2 linked regions of the Caenorhabditis elegans genome follow. The protein of the gene in region 2 interacts with the protein of the main gene of each other region in a biochemical or structural test. Each region holds a gene or a part of one and is shown on either strand. Other genes may lie near its edges. The genes, in order: bkip-1 and slo-1.

The links.
Region 1: of the proteins of slo-1 (region 2) and bkip-1, one has a biochemical effect on the other in vitro, tested with the Caenorhabditis elegans proteins (one study listed by BioGRID).

What each region holds. Positions count from the first base shown.
Region 1 is NC_003280.10:14,099,524-14,103,318, reverse strand, and holds bkip-1 (BK channel Interacting Protein), read right to left. Parts: upstream 2,057-3,795; coding exon 1,926-2,056; intron 1,882-1,925; coding exon 1,820-1,881; intron 960-1,819; exon of another isoform or gene 924-959; coding exon of another isoform or gene 882-923; intron 672-881; coding exon 655-671; downstream 1-654.
Region 2 is NC_003283.11:18,489,991-18,493,914, reverse strand, and holds the start of slo-1 (BK channel), read right to left. Parts: upstream 1,610-3,924; coding exon 1,455-1,609; intron 785-1,454; coding exon 574-784; intron 369-573; coding exon of another isoform or gene 324-368; intron 1-323. UniProt on the Caenorhabditis elegans protein: Potassium channel activated by both membrane depolarization or increase in cytosolic Ca(2+) that mediates export of K(+). Its activation dampens the excitatory events that elevate the cytosolic Ca(2+) concentration and/or depolarize the cell membrane.

The sequences.
Region 1 (3,795 bases), on a different chromosome or scaffold from region 2:
TTTGATCGTCAAAATTGTACTCATCCTATAAATTTTCCTACATCTATTTTGAAAAGTAAGCAATTTCTATGAAAATATCATTTACAAAAATGGGAAAAATTTCAAAAAGGCGCAGTTTCAAGTGTTTCCGTATTATAAAAAATCCCTTTGAAAAATTCCGGCAATTTGCCAAAAGTTTCTGTCAAATCGGCAAGCCGAAAATTTGCCGTTTTGCCGAAATTGCCAATTTGCCCATTTGTCGACAAAAAAATTTGCCGAACATCAATTGTCGCATATGTCACAATTGCCGCATTTCTAGACAAAAAAGTTCAGAAAAATAATTTTTCATTCAAATATTGTTCGTTTTCTTTTATCAAACCACAAATTTTAAAATTTTCATTCGAAAAGCCAAAAATGTACAAAAAATCAATCAATAAAATATGAGGATCGATGAATAACCAGGCAAATACCAATCACTGCTGCTTTTTTCGCTTTGATACTTTCCATGCTGATTCAGCTGAAAAATTGTTAATTTATTGGTTTTAGGAGCTTTTTAAATTTAAACATTATTTTTGTTAATTAAAAAACCGCTTACCAGGAGCAATAAGTGTATAATATGAGACGACTGCAATTATGAGAATAGTCATGAAAAGTGATGCGTAAAGTGTGTACCATTCACCCGCTTGGAATTTCTGAAAAAAGTTGAATTTTTTTGTTTAAATTTTTGACTTTTTTAAAACAATTTTGGCGCTAAATTTGAAATTTTGTTTAATTTTTCAACTTGTTTTCTAACAAAAAAATTAAGAATTCATAATATTTTCTGAATTCTGACAGAATTATCCATTATCGACAAAAACCTTTTTTTTTCAAATTTCCAACAAAAAAATCAAATAAAAACCCACAACATCTCCAGGTCTATGAGAATATCCATCAATTTGTGGCATTTATTTCCGAGCAACAAAAAACAATAAGCAGAATGAGAAAATGTGAGCACAAAAATATAATCGATTTGTGTGGAGAGCTGGAGAAGCTCTGCTGGATGTGTCTGCGGTCTCTCGCTTCTTTGTGCTCTCTAGCATGGTGGACCACCACGCCGCTGAGCTTGTGCTCCGGCTCATTAGAGATGGAGATTTTCGAAATTTGAGAATTTGTTCGGTTTCGAAAATTGAAATTTTTTTTAGATCTATCAAATATTGTGAGGGAAAAAAGTTTTTTTTTCGATTTGCAAATTTTTAAAATTGTTTTTTTCTGTCAAATAAATGACAATTTGACAATTGGAAAATTTTTCAGTTGACAATTGACAATTCGAAAATTGTTTCCATTGACAACTTGCCAATTTTACTTTTTGACAATTGACAATGGACAATTTGACAATAATTGACAATTTGATAATTTGACAATTCAAAAATTATTCAATTTACAACTAGCCAATTTGACCTTTTGACAATAGGCAATTTACAATTAGACAATGGTTGACAATCATTGACAATTTGAAAATTCGAAATTTTGTCAATTGACAATTTGCCAATTTTACTTTTTGACAATTGACAATGGGCAAATTGACAATTATTGACAATTGACAATTGTTGACATTAATTGACAATTGGCAATTTGACAATTAACAATTTTATACTTGGCTATCTGACAATTTTCCATAACGACAATTAGACAATTTGCCGAATTGGCAATTGACAACTTGGAGATTTGACAATTGACAAGATGGCACTTGGCAATTTGACAATTTGACAATTTGACATCTGTCAAATAACAAATTGGTCATTTGACAATTGACAATTGAAACTTGACAATTTGGCAATTTATCAAAAAATTCCAAACTCACTGAAATCATTGTCTAATTTTTCGTAATCAAAGGCCTTTGATAATGATGATGAGCATAAGGATCTGAAATTTTTTTATTTATACACTACAAAAACTGCAAAAACTACAAGATACTTTTTTTGCAAAACTTGTAATAGGCGACCACGCCTAGTGCCAAAGCTACTGTGAAACAGAACATAATCCACGTCAGAATTTCGCCAGGCTGCATTTTGTTCACTCGCGATGTTGTTATATACATTTTTGGCTGATAATTCTGGAAATTCTTGAAATTATTTTTTGAAATAAAGGGTAATTGAACTTTGAGTTTTAAAAGTTGAAAAAATGTAGACATTATGGGAAACAAAAAGGGCAAAGTGAAATTTGAGAACTGAAAGTTTTTCAGAGATGAATGGGCTTGAGAAATGATGATGTCACTTTTGTTGGGAAATTTTTTGAAATTTTCAGTAAAAACAATTTTGAAAATTTTTCAGAATTTTTAGAAAATTTTTTAAAACATTTTTTTTTTGAAATTTCTGAAAAATTTCAATTTTAAAAATCAGTAGTATAAAAACCAATAAAACCAGCAAAAAACGCTAAAACATAAAGAAAAATGAAATTTCACACGAGAAGGTAATGAGATTAGCTGAAAGCGGTCACATGCCTGAGCAATTGATTTTTTGGAAGGCTTCAGGCTAGGGAGCTGCTTGAAAAAGCTTAAAATAATAGAGGGAACATCTTCTCATGTTTTAAAAGAAGGTAGCCTGAAGGCGACCTACTGCCTTTTGACGCAAAAAATGTCGATAGGTTAAGTAGGCACGGGAGGCAGGCAAGGTCGATAGGTTAGTAGGCACGGAAGGCAGACAAGGTCGATAGGTTAGTAGGCACGGAAGGCAGGCAGGGTTGGTAGGTTAGTAGGCACGGAAGGCAGACAAGGTCGGTAGGTAAGTAGGCACGGATGGCAGGTAAAGTCGGTAGGTAAGTAGGCATGGAAGACAGGTAAAGTCGGTAGGTAAGTAGGCACGGGAGGCAGGCAAGGTCGGTAGGTTAGTAGGCACGGATGGCAGGTAAAGTCGGTAGGTAAGTAGCCACGAGAGGCAGGCAAGGTCGGTAGGTTAGTAGGCACGGAAGGCAGGCAAGGTCGATAGGTTAGCTTTGAAATAAAATTTTTAAAAAAAGTTTTGAAATAAAATCCGAATTAAAGTTTTTCAGTTTTCGGATAAAAAAAAAATTGAAAAGTTCAATTTTGTTTTCAAAACAGATTAAAGAATTGGCGCAGAGATCAGTTTGTCTCGAAAGTGCAAAAACCAGAACTTCCTCTCGAAATTTCGATGGCCCATAAAATTTCAAAAAGTTTTCTTGGAAATAATATGGGCGGCCCCCCGAAAAAAAAATTTTATGAGCTGTATAGCCATTTTGAGCACAGCAGAGCACAAATTAAACTGCCACGGGGTGGAATTTTTGGAGGCTTTATGAGAAAATTGGCCTTGTCATGGGGTGGATTAAAAGGACGAGCTTTAAGGGGTTAATGGGGTTGTACAATGGGGTACTGTAGAGGAAAGGGTCAGAAATTAAATGAAAAAAATTCTACGAAAACTTACTATTAGTTTGAAAATTATTAAGTTTTAAATTTTAAAATAAAATTTTCAACTTTCCGGTAATTGTTTTTTTTTAAGAAAATATTTCAGAACAAACAACTTCATTTTATTTTTAATTTGAAAATTAAAAACAAAAATAACTGTTTGCCTACATACCTGCCTACTGATTTTGCGGAAAATTAAGGTTTTATTTGTAAACCTACTTTGGGCTTCCATGGTAGGTGCATATACATACAGGCGGACGTGCCTGCCTACCTACCTGCGTTTGTGGCCTATTTTATGCCTACCTACTTACATGCCTTTTTCATGCCTTCCTACCTACGCCCGCCTACATACCTACATACCGCCTAATTTTTTGCAAAAACAATGTGTTATTTCTAAATCTACTTTGGGCTTCTATGGT
Region 2 (3,924 bases):
GCATAGGCAATATGGGTGTCAAAATTTTGGAAATTTCACGGAGTGTATGAATTTCCTGTTGAAAATGGTCCCGGAGTGTCCCATGTCCCAAAATTGTCCCCACAGGGGTTCATTTTTGTAAAAATTTTTTTTTTTTTTTTTTTAATTCAGCAAACTTCAAATAATAAAATAAATAATAAAAAAAAATGCGATAACTACAAAAGCAAAAAAAAAAACATTTCCTGAAAGTTTTCGGAAAAATAGAAAAAATGCGGGGTAAGGGGGAACATTTTCCACATTTTCCATAAAAATCAGTGAATTTTTCAGAAAACTTTTGGACTTGCCCTGCGGTCCCGAATACTTCTGTAAAGCTGCATCGCTAGAGAATCCTAAAAATAAGAACAAGCTCCGCCCACTTTTTTCGTGCATATTTTTTTCGGTTTTTTTTTTGAAATTTTTTTTGTTGAATTTCATAAATTTGAAAAAATGTAGAAAATTGAAAATAGACAAAACTTAACTTAAAATAAACAAAAATTAGGCGGGAATTTGAATTTTTTAGGTATTTTTTTAAATTTTTTTTGTTCAAAAACCCACTTCTGTCATCCATCCCAAGTGTTTTTCCTCTTGTTGCTTCAAAAACGGGTCGGTTTCACTTGGCGCGTGCTTCGACCCGTTCATATTTATTTGGACGGCTTCCGGAGCAGGTATGGGCTCCACAAACTCTTTTTCTCGGCGTTGACAGCACAGGTGTGTCACCACTCGCCATATTACGACCAATATCATTGAGGCGCAGAATGTGGTGATGCTGAAAATATTTTTGTTGGATTTGGAAGAGTGAGAGCTTTAAAATACGCCCCATATTGGATAGTTTTGGAGGCGTTTGAGATTTTGGGTGCAAAGCGGTCGCGTCGCGGTCGGAATTTTTTTAAAAACAAATTTTTAATATTGTCTATCTCTGACACTTTTAACTTGATACTTTGAGTTTGTGGCTTCATGAGCTTCAAAATACGCCCCATATTGGATAGTTTTGGAGGCGTTTGAGATTTTGGGTGCAAAGCGGTCGCGTCGCGGTTTCAAAGTTTCAATTTTGAGAACAGACCATTTTGGCCTGTTGAAAATGAACTATTTATGTTGGTTACGTCGCTAGCTTCAAAATAAGCCCCATATTGACTGGGTTTGGAGCATTTTGAGATTTTGGGTCACGCGGCGAGGTTGCGTCGCGGTCGCACCACTGTCAAAAGTGTTTACTCTTGCTTTGAATTAGTTCATTTTGAATTAATTTTCAATAATTTTTGAAGTTTTGTAGTTAATAAAGCCTAATTTTTCAAAATTTGACAATTTTAGTTTTCAACCGCGACGCGACCGCGCCGCGTCCGAAATTTAAAACTACATCAAATTATATCAAGATGGGGGTCAATTGAAAGCTGGCAACCTCAGAAATTCGAATTCACTAGTTTCAGCTCAATATTCCTTACCTGCTCAGTAAAAAACACCAATATTTGCGCTCCTCCAGGCACTTTCGATCTTCTTCAGTCATCTCCATGAATACTCGACTAAGGTTACAATTCATCGGGTATCCATATGGTTGATTGAAGCCCTTCGACTGCGAAGGCGAGTAAATCTCGCCCATCGTGTCGACGAAGGGTCCACCCGACGGCTTTCGGCGAGTCTGAAAATTTTTTGGAAATTTTTTTTTGTCTCAAAAAAAAAAAACTTTTCCCAAAAGCCCAAAGAAGTTTAAAAATCTCATAAAATATGCTCATTTTCTCACGAAGAAAAATGATGTCATCACCAGAAACTAGTGGTGGTGGGGACAAAAAGCGGAAAAAGTAGTGTGTAGAGTGAGAAAAGAATTAGGTCGGAGCAGCGAGGCCTTCCCTCCCGACGAATAAATGAACATAATGGACCAGTTAGGCTGGAGAAAATAGTAGAGACGTAGAGCGTGCCTAGACATATCTGTCATTTTTCCTGACAAACTCCCCGGAAATTTCACGTATCCCACGTATTTTTGACTGAAAATGTCCGGCTCTGGGGGACATGGTGCATCGAGAAAATCGGGAAATTTTGAAAATTTCTATCAATATTCGACTTTTAAACGCAATCTAGGAGTAAAAAGCCGCCTGAATTTGACTTCATAAATGGCTCAACTTCAATTTTAAAAAATGAGTTATTTGCCAAAAAGCCTAAAAAAAAAAGAACATGGTACATCGACCAAAAGCTCAATTTCCTCAAAACTCCAGATTTATAATAGGTATATTTTATATTCTGGTTTTTCGATGGTAAAATGCCACAGGGAGCCCCGCCATTATTCATCGAAAACCAGCAAAAAACTTGATGAATTGCTGTTCTGGAACACAAGTTTTGGAAAAAAATAAATAAATGAACAACAACTTTTTTTTTGCTTTTCAACAAAAAATTTTGGCGGGAATTTCAAATTTTTTGAGAACAACATTTTGGCGGGAAATTTGAATGTTCTGAGAATTAATGTTGGCAGGAAATTCAAATTTTAATAATTTATAATTTATAATTTTATAATTTAGGAAAAGGAATTAATGTCTGAGAAAATTGGTAGGAAATTCAATTTCACATTTTTTCAGAAAAATTTCGGCGGGAAATTCAAATTTTCCTAGAATTAATGTTGGCAGGAAATTCAAATTTTAATAGAATTAATTTTGGCAGGAAATTAAAATTTCTGAGGAACATTTTAGAGGAATGTTCAAATTTCCACAGAAAAACATTGGCGCAAAATTCAAATTTTCTTACAATTAGAAAAATTTTGGCGGAAAATTCAAATTTTTTGAGAAACATTTTGGTGGGAAATTTAAACTTTCTGAAAAAAATTTTTGGCGGGAAATTCAAATTTTCTCTGAAAAATTTTGGCGGTAAATTAAAATTTTTCTAGAACTAATTTTGGCTGGAAATTTGAATTTTCTCAGAAAAAGTTTGGCGGGGAAATTCAAATTTCCTTAGAATTAATTTTGGCGGGGAAATTCAATTTTTTTCAGAAAAATATTGGTGGGAAATTCAATTTTTGCAAACAAAAAAAAGTAGATCAAAATCTAAATTAAAAGTTGAAAATTTATGAGAATTAGAAAATTGAACACATAGTACTTAATGGGTTAGTGTATGGAGCTGGAGAACGTGTGTGTGTGTGTGAGTGTGCAAAAATATCAAGATATATGGAGGAAGGGGGAGAAAAGAAGAGTTACACTACACATTCTCCCCCCTCCTCTCTTCTCATCCCCCTCCTCAACCTTTCTCTGGCTCCCCCTCCCTCCCTGCACAGAGAGATGGATCAATACACCCCTCCGTCCGTCCGGCAATAGCAGAAGCTGCTGCTGCTGCTCGTGGTGCTCCGCGAGCCAGAAGAAGAAGCTGAAGCATTTGGAATGCGTAAGAGATGTGTGTCTGCGTCTCCAACGACCTCATTTTAGGAGGAGAAGCTGCCTGGAAAATTGGCGGAAAACGGGAGGGAAGGAACTTTTTTTGTTTTGGGAATATTCAATTTAACATGTTTAGGCTGGGGGAACTGGAAAAAATATTTTTTTTTGCGTAAAAAATTGATTTTAAAAAATTCAAAAATTGAAAAAAAAAATTTTTTTCAAATTTTTATTAAATTTTGTGTTTTCTGAATCACATTTTTCTTCTGATTCCAAAAACATATCTTTAACAGGTCTCAGCAAAAAACTAACCAAGTTACGACCGGTTTTGCACACCAGAGTGAGGAGGACGCAGAGAAAACAGACACTCTAGCTGTCTGCGCTCTCCACTCTCTCTCGTCAAAAACGTCTGTGACTAGATTTGTTTTGTAGTAGAAGCGACGAAAAATATAATTTTTGAGTCAGGAAAAAAAGTTTTGGATAGGAAATTTATTTTTTTGGATTTTTAAGTAAATTTTTAGAAATTAAAAAAAAAATGTTGAAACAATTTTTTCACATTTTTTAT